2 linked regions of the Sus scrofa genome follow. The protein of the gene in region 1 interacts with the protein of each later gene in a biochemical or structural test. Links are inferred from orthologs where the notes say so. Each region holds a gene or a part of one and is shown on either strand. Other genes may lie near its edges.

Region 1 (4,479 bases):
CATCTCTGCCTCATGGGTCAGAAGTTCCTTATGAAGAGAGTCTGAAAGAGTGAAGCATTAACCTCTCTGAGCCTCCATGTCTTCATCTGTAAAATGGCAATAACAATCTCACTTCTGCCTACTTTACAGGGAAGCTCTGACTGGTCAATGGTAAGTACTTAAAAAAAAAAAAAGATTTGTTGAAGGAGTGAGTACATGGACTATGTGGGGGTGCCAGTGACAAGCCGCAGAGGTCTTCCCTGAACAATGTAACTGTGCTGATTTGCTGCCCATGAAACCTAATGTGATGGAGGCCCACATCAGGCAGGGGATCAGTGCTGAGTTGAACAGACAGACTGGATAGTGTGCTGATCAGTGCTTCATGTTTGGGTAATGGACACTCATACTCGATTGGTGAGTGTTTAAATATACTGGTACAGCCTTTTTGGAAAAGTCTAGCTATAACAGTGATAAAACAGCACACAAATTAACCTAGTAATTCCATCTACTAGAAATCCCCTAGATATTCTGGCTCAAATATGCCAAGATTTTCATAGATAGTAAGTATGTTCACTTCAACTCTTTGCAATATCGAAAAACTGGAAATAATGTAAAGTGTCCTCAGTATGGGAGTGGATACATAAATTTCAGTAATCTGTATGATGGACAATGTAGCTATTAAAAAGAATGAGATAAATCCATAAAACGGAGCCGTTTCAGGAGGAATCTAAGTTAACCGAAAAATTCAAATTGACAAAAGTATGATTTACCACAATAATATTCGTGGAAAAAAACTGTAATTATGTATCTGCACAGGAACTACCTGGAAGGCTACACTCCAAAGTTAAGATAGTTAACCATCCTAGTTGATGAAAGAGCTCTTATTTAAAGTCCAGAGGCCCTATTTGTAGTCTGGTCAAAGACACCGTGTGACTCAAGGAAACTATTCACTTTTGGGGGCCAAAGCGAACTTTTGTGAAAGCTAACGATAATGTTTACCTCTTAGTATTGTGATGCGGTGAGATGAAATAATGGATTTGAAAACCCTGGCTCACAGCAGGGACAGATCGTCATAGCAATCAGAGAAGGTGACTGGAAAGAGGGGGCGTGAGCCTAGACTTTGAAATGTTTAGCAAGGCCTGGATTTCGTTTGATGCCAGGCTATCTTTTCCCAACATTCAACAGGCATTTATTTATTAAGTGTCTGTACAAAACCGGATGTCGTGGAGAGGCGAAGAGGAAACCCCGCGCGTGCGCAATGAGAGCACCTTTGGCTGCGCTCCGCCCACGTACTACAACTCCCAACAGGCACCGCTCGCGTGTCAGGCGCGTCGCGAAATGCTGACGTACCTCAGTAGCGCGGGGAATTTCGAGTGGCAGTGGGGCACTGGAGACCAGTGGGTAGCGGATACCCCCCGCTTTTTTAGGGGAGACCATGGACTCCTTGGTCGAACAACGGTGGCCTCCGGGGCTGGCAGTCATGAAGGTGAGTGTTTCGGGGGGGTTGGGGGCGCCCGGCGTCCGCAGGAGGCCAGCCCCGGCTTAAGGAGGAGAAAGGATGAGGCGCCAGTGGCGAGCTGGGCCAGGGTACCTGGCTCTTCGCTGCCACTTGCCAACCGCTTGGCTTTGGACTTCAGTTTCCTCCCCTGGGAGGTGCCGGGGATAAGCCTTGGTCCATTATGGTGATCCAAGGTTGGCCTTCGTATGGAACCGATCATTCTCCGAGTCAGCCACAACAGTAACAGAGAACTGGAGGGAAGCAGTTACTCCAAACAATGGAAACAACAGTGACACCTAATTCTTAGGGCTTACTACGTGCCATGCATTATGTAAACTCTCCCAGTTCTTTAGTTGAGAATCTGACACCGTATGTGATTTGGGGTGAATCCTGCATCAGATAACTCTTGATCGCTTAGCAAGGCAGGTAGTCTCCTTTACATTTCTCTTTAATTTCTTCCAGTTACCTTCAAGAAGCCTAGTGCTAATTTGTCTTAATTCCTCTCTGATGTGTCCTGACTCCTAATAGTTGTGCATCTCTCTCTTTTAAACAAAGAAATCAGGACTGGGGCCCAGCACTAGCCTTTGATCTCATTGCAGTATTTTACTGAAAGAACACTGATTTTTGCGGCTACTTTGTTTTTGGCGAGGCATTCCAGTTTCCATTTACCATAGTGGTGAGTTCTGGATTCTCCTATGTTTGGTTAAGAGCAAATACACTATGCTGTGCTAGCTACAATCAGTTGCTTGGTTTTTCTCCTTGTTCTGTGTTTCTCTTTGCGATTGTGAGCAGGATCACCTTCTTCTGTTCCTTAGTTTGGTAAATTTGAGGATTGTGGTGTCTGTTCCACTGACTCATAAGGCTGACTCTAGGGATTAAGTGAAGGAACGTGGGGGAGGTTAAAGGAGGTATAAGGCCATGTTCTACCTGCTGCCACCAGTGTCATCTCTATTGCTTGGGGACTTGAGATAGCCCTATGGTGAAAAGCTGACATCATGGAAGGATCTAGGAAAGCTGTGGTTTTAAAGTTGTGGTGGCTTTGGCACCAAGACGCAGTGGTGCAGTGGAGAAGAACACAGATTTGAGTTCCAGTGGTTCTGGATTAAATTTGCTCTCTGCTTCATATTTAACTGTGACCCTGATTCAGTTACCTAACCTCTCTGAGCCTCAGTTGCCTCATCTATAAACTGGAAATAGAAATAAATAGTTTATAAGGCTGATTAAATGTGTGTGAATTGGGATGCTGTCTGGCTTATTCACTGTGCCTAAACACAATGGTGCTCAAAAATGACTTGCTAGTTGATTGAAGGTATCTAGCATGTGGTAAGCATTAAATTAATAAATCTTTATTATTAGCATGAAGAAATATTATTAGTTTTTTTTTTTAGGGGATGGAGAAAGATCTATGGCAGATGTTCCAATCTTGGTGGCTTTCTGATAGGCATATACGTATTTTTGCATTTCAGCCAGTAGATGATTTGCTGCGGTGTGGAATTTGCTTTGAATATTTCAACATTGCAATGATGATTCCTCAGTGTTCACATAACTGTAAGTATGTACTCCTTCTGTGAGGTAGTAAAAGTGTGATTTTTATGTAATGTAGTGTTCATTTAACACCAAAAATTAGTACACATACTTATTTCTCACTTTTATTTAGCTTCTCTGTCTTGAAGTTTTCAGGTCTTTTCCATGACCTCCCTCTTGAATAGTAAATATTTTGTATGGGCTCTGATGTTTTTCTACCACTTCCCTCTTGAATGCTTTTATGCCCTTTGTAACATTTACAAGAGTAATGGTTTTGATCACTATGTATGTTTATTTATCCAACACTTCTAGATGTTAAATTTCAGAATTTTTGTTTTTAACAGGATAAGAGATAGGTGGTTCAACCAAGTAGTCCTTGGCATGGAATTTAAAGTTTAAAAAAAAATCCCAGTGGGAGAGTTCTTCCACTGAAGAGTATTACAGACAGAATTATCACTTAACTTGCTCTGTGATGCTGGAAAGAATCATATATTGAGTCTATACTTCTCTCTATGAGGCTAGTATGTAAATATTGTTATACTGTAGCTTGACATATGTAGTGCATAGGAGTGCACCTGTCATTGTTCAGGATCTGCCCTCCAGTTTATGAATTATCTAGGCTTGGGATCTCCCTTATTATCTATTTTCCAGTTGATTTACCTTGGAAAGTTTTTTTTTTTTTTTTTTTTTTGTCTTTTTTTGTTGTTGTTGTTGTTGTTGCTATTTCTTGGGCCGCTCCCGCGGCATATGGAGATTCCTAGGTTAGGGGTCGAATCGGAGCTGTAGCCACCGGCCTACGCCAGAGCCACAGCAATGCAGGATCCGAGCCTCGTCTGCAACCTACACCACAGCTCACGGTAACGCCGGATCGTTAACCCACTGAGCAAGGGCAGGGACCGAACCCACAACCTCATGGTTCCTAGTCGGATTCGTTAACCACTGCGCCACGACGGGAACTCCTTTTTTTTTTTTTTTTTTTGTCTTACCTTGGAAAGTTTAAAAAAAAAAATTAGGCTTAAAAAATGGTTTTGTGGGAGTTCTCTTTGTGGTGCAGTGGAAACAAATCTGACTAGTATCCATGAGGATGCGGGTTCGATCCCTGGCCTTGCTCAGTGGGTTAGAGATCCAGCATTGCCATGAGCTGTGGTGTAGGTCACAGACACGGCTCGGATCCTGCGTTGCTGTGGCTGGCAGCTGTAGCTCGATTTGACCCCTACTGTGGGAACTTGCATATGCCACATGTGTGGCGCCAAAAAAAAAAAAAAAAAAAAAAAGGTTTTGTGAATAGTCGTAGCTTTGGTGAAAATTTTCTATCAAGAAGACAATAAGAGGATAGTGGTGGCAGCAACACAGGCATTAGGGATACATTCGGGCTTGACTCTTCCCTTCCCACTTACTAGGTGGATGAAATTGCAAATCCTAGCATGTCTTCAAATTTGAAACTTTGGTAAGAAGTTTCTGCCTTAGAAGATGGTTGT
Region 2 (4,583 bases), on another chromosome or scaffold:
AAGCACCTGAATCACAGTGTAGCTTAGTTGTTGAGAATTCTCACACACACACACACACACACACACACACAAAGTTACTTAACCAAAACTCTACTGGTATCAGAGAAGCCTGGATTCTGCCCCTAAGTTACTTAGTTTCTCTAAGCCTCGTTTTCCTCTTCTATAAAATGAAGATAATCATAATGCCTGCCTCCTAGGGTTGTTGCAAGGATTAAAGAATTTATGTAGGAACTCCTGTTGTGGCTCAGCGCTTAACCAACCCAACTAGTATCCATGAGGATTTTGGTTCGATCCCTGGCCTCAGTGGGTTAAGGATCTGGCATTGCTGTGAGTTGTGGTGTAGGTCCCACACCCAGCTCAGATTCCACACTGCTGTGGCTGTGGCATAGGCCAGCAGCTGCAGCTCTGATTCGACCCCTAGCCTGGAAACTTCCATATGCCATGGGTGAGACCCTAAAAAGCAAAAAAAAAAAAAAAAAAGCAAATCATCTATCATAAAACATACATAATAAACACTTTATAAATGGTAACTAGAATAATTATTAAGACACGTAAGATTTCAGGGGCTCCAGATATCTTTGGGTTTTGGGGGGTTTTTTTAGGGCTGCACCTACGGCATATGGAAGTTCCCAGACTAGGGGTCCAATCGGAGCTGCAGCTGCCAGCCTATGCCACAGCCACAGCAACGCGAGATCTGAGCCGCGTTGGCAGGTGACCTATGCCGCAGCTTGTGGCAACACCGGATCCTTAACCCACTGAGCCACAACGGCAACTCCCAGAAATCTTAGTACCTGGATTTGAATCCTGACTCCGCAGCTTGCTCAGTTGTACGGTGTTGGGCGAGTCACTTAATCCCAGGTCTCAGTTTCCTCGTCTGTAAAATGGGGATATTTTATGTGCTAGCCCTATTTCCTAGGGATGTTGGGAGTGAGAATTGAGTAACATAAAGCATGAAGAGCAATCATCGTGGCGCCTGGCATCTAGTAAGCACCCTACTGTGAATTCTGTGAATTTTTTCATAATTAAGCATCCATTTTGTTGAAGGAAGATCTGCCCAAGCAGAGAACTACTCAAAAATGAATTCAAACCCACTTTTCTTTCTCTGCAACAGCCTAGACATACTATTTTGTGGAGCATTTATATAAAATAAACTTCAGCTTCGGTCTTTTGCAGAGAATTTGATCCTGAAAGGGGATAAGAGGCTCTCCACTGAGGGCTGCAAACCACAGTACAAGAGAGCCCAAGCCCCCTTTATAGTTATTACAATAGCTGTGGACTCACTGCGCTGGCAGCTATTAAAATAAACCTAGGACCGAGCATTAATGATCAGAAAGCAAGTGGTGCCTCTGACAATTGGGTGGCTGACATAGATGAGGGTTTTTTTTTTCCCTCTCTCTCTTCTTTCTATTCTTGTTGTTCAATGATTTTTGAAATTTAATTTAAAGACAAAGTGGTTTTAATCTCTCCAAGCTGTGCAGGATAGTGCTATAGAATTCATTATGTCCATTATGCTCATGCGAACATTGATGGTACACAATCTTAGCAACCCCCTAATTTATGCCGTTGTTTTGTTACTATTCAATGCCTAATAGAATCCGTGAAGCCTGATTCCAGGTGAGAGAGCCGGAATACAGGTCAGCTCACACACAGCCGCGCTCCCCATTCCAGGGGCCACTCGGCTCAGTCACTGGAGGCAGTGTGCTCCCGGTGCTCCGACCGCTGGAGAAAGAAACCAGGGTGTCTCCCCACAGGGGCAGTTGTCGTGGATGGTAAGTCATTTAAGCCATTATTTTCGTATTAAAAGAGATGTGGATATGTTAGAGAGTCTATTGCACAGTTTGAATGCGTTTTAAAGCTGCAAAGAGAGTTCTTATGTACCGGGGACCGTTTTCTGGCACTGCCCTCAGACCCAGGGCGGGGGCGGGGGGTACCTTTCAGCCTCCTCTGCCATTATGGATACTTCGGTCGACAACAATTGTAAAGTACTGCTATAGCGGATAATAGATTTTCAAGCGTCAGGGTTCCTGGGGTAAATTTCTTTTCTCCTGTGAAGTTTATGAGCATAATATTTCTAATTTGTCTTTGAGGTTTTCAACCCGTTAATACCTATCCATAGTAATCAAAGTTGAACAGTAAAGATATAACTGAAAAGCAAACATCTCCTGGTCCTCCTTCCCTCATCCCAGATCCCCCTCTTCAAAAATAACCATTAGGAACAGTTTCTTGTCTAGCCACACGCTCCCCCGCCCCGCCGATGTGATGCATAGGGTTGTAAGAGTAGCTGATTTGTTTTTTATCTGATTCATATTCTGACTGCTTGGATTCAAAATGGCATGTTTGTTTTAGAGCGGTGTCAGACTGTGGGGTACCAGGACTCACGGATGCTGTCAGAGGCAGGAGGATGGGGAAGGGGCAGCTTCTGGACTCTGAGCAAGGATTTCTAAGTGTGATCCTTTATTAAAACCTTAAAAGGAAGCCAGGTCTTTTCCTGTGCAGTTTTAGCTTTGGTCACCGAATGACCTGGGGGCAAGTCCCCTCCCATATCGGAGCCTTAGTTTCTCCTCCAAAGTCCCTTCCAGTTTAGAGGTTCTCTGACTCCATCATTTTTACATAAAGTGGAATCTATGAAAGGACCAGGATTAGGCGGTTTAATCTTTCCTGAGAACATTTTAAAATATCTAACACAGTCGTAAGTGAATAGTCTCTGACTCAGAACAGTCATTTGCAGACTGTGTGGGTGGGTTGGAGTTGGCAAGTAAAATTACAAATGTAAAGATTTACATTAATTTCGGGACCAAGAAGCTGAGCAACAAAATTGCAGCGTGGAGTTTGGGTCAAAGGTAATCTGATTTATCTCAAAATAATTAACATCTATCTTTTCAAAGCTTTGTCTTATTATGTGTAATGTGCACTTCGGTATGCAGGCGGAGATTTATTTGAACAACAAATATTGGATGCCGCAATTTCTGGACACACACAAAAAATGCCTTGTTTTCCACTCAAAATGTTTGGAGGAGCTTTCCCATCATTTCAGCCATTATTTGCTTTAAGTGCAGGTGAACAAGTTCAGATGCATGGTGCTCTCCTTAGCCAAAGGCTTAAAAGAGCCTTTGGTATCCCAGCAACAAATATAAACAATGTTCAAGTAACAGATTGGGCAGTACTTTCACTGTACCCTCTTTGGAGACACAACTGAGTTAAATGAAAAGAGTATTAATCCCTGGCTTTTCCATGACTGTCCCTCGAAGAGGAGTCTCATTTTGATGGTCCATCAAATGAAAAACGGATTGCATTTCCCTGGGCAACTTTCATAACCCAGGGAGGAAATTTAGCACTGTCGAGATTTACATATGTCGAGATTGCTCTATCTAATCACCTGACACGTTTCCGCCGTCTTTAATGTTTTCACTCCCACAACGGGGATGGTTGTGGCCGTAAAGACATAACCGGGGCAAAGTCGGTTGGCTGGCTATTGACAGGTTGGATGGCTACTGACAGATCAGCTTCCGAGGGCCTCGTGTTTGGGAGTGCAAAGGGAAACTCTTCTGGCTAAACGAGCCTCCAGTGCCCTGCGGGGCAGGGAGCAGAGCCATCTCAACGCAGAGAGAGAGGTACCGTGAACCTTACGATGCCTCAGCCTCGGAGCCAGCCTGTGCCGTAGCAACATATTCATTTGATCATCCAGTTTTGCAAAATTTTTGGAAGGAAGATACCTTTGGGTTTTTTTAAACAGGGCACCCAAATTACCTACTCATAAACTGTTACCCCCACAAAACCTGCATCGCCTCCTGCTGGTGGAGCTGGACTAGAAGGAATGTGGAGGCAGCCCCGTCAATCAGGGCAGAGGCGTGACCAGTCCCGGACTCCCCTCGGCTCCCCATCTTCCTGCTCGGGAATGGCTCAGGAGACCTTTTGGAGCCAAACTCTCTCACTTGATGACTATCCAACTGTTGCTTAACTGCTTTGCGCCTCTGTTTCCCCATCTGGTAGGTACAACAATACCTACCTCGAAAGACTAGTGTGGAGATTCCAGGGGTGAATGTGGGCAAAGCGCTTAGAACAATGCAGGACCCACAGTACACAATTTTGCTATTTATTATAACTGTTATGGTTTGATTGGAATGCTTTAAATGATTTTCACTTCATCCATGGGAGACTGATGTAATGGATTGATCCCTGACCTACAGATCTCTAAAACAGTCGCAAGAAAGTGCCACATGTCCTAGAGAAAATGAATCCCCCCCCCACAAAGCAAAGGTTGTAAAGAAAGAAAAGGACAATTGGGGAAGGACTGCAGAGGAATATGTGGTGAGAGTAATAATTCTGAACTCTAAGAGCACTTACTTTACCACACTCATTATCCAAGGGAACAAAGGCCAAAAATGAATCCATTCGGCCTCGCACCCCACACCAAGACCCCACTGCCTGCTGGCCTGCCCGGGGGCACTGGGTGATTGCTGGGGTTCCCTTTGCTCTTGTAGTATTTCAAGGAATTCATGAGATCTGCTTACCAAGTTTGTGACTTGACTCCCTGGGGAAAGAAGCTTCTGGGGAGAGGTGATGCACTGAGGCCTTTGGAAGCA

The links.
Region 2: the proteins of RAD18 (region 1) and UBE2A form a complex in vitro, tested with the Homo sapiens proteins (12 studies listed by BioGRID, with this or other methods). The link is inferred for Sus scrofa from reciprocal best matches to the Homo sapiens genes RAD18 and UBE2A.

Annotation. Positions count from the first base shown.
Region 1 is NC_010455.5:65,355,999-65,360,477, reverse strand, and holds the start of RAD18 (E3 ubiquitin-protein ligase RAD18), read left to right. Parts: upstream 1-1,414; coding exon 1,415-1,465; intron 1,466-2,943; coding exon 2,944-3,025; intron 3,026-4,479. UniProt on the Homo sapiens protein: E3 ubiquitin-protein ligase involved in postreplication repair of UV-damaged DNA. Postreplication repair functions in gap-filling of a daughter strand on replication of damaged DNA.
Region 2 is NC_010461.5:97,923,440-97,928,022, forward strand, and holds the start of UBE2A (ubiquitin-conjugating enzyme E2 A), read left to right. Parts: upstream 1-1,696; 5' UTR 1,697-1,766; coding exon 1,767-1,769; intron 1,770-4,583. UniProt on the Homo sapiens protein: E2 ubiquitin-conjugating enzyme that accepts ubiquitin from the ubiquitin-activating enzyme E1 and transfers it to a E3 ubiquitin-protein ligase. In vitro catalyzes 'Lys-11', as well as 'Lys-48'-linked polyubiquitination.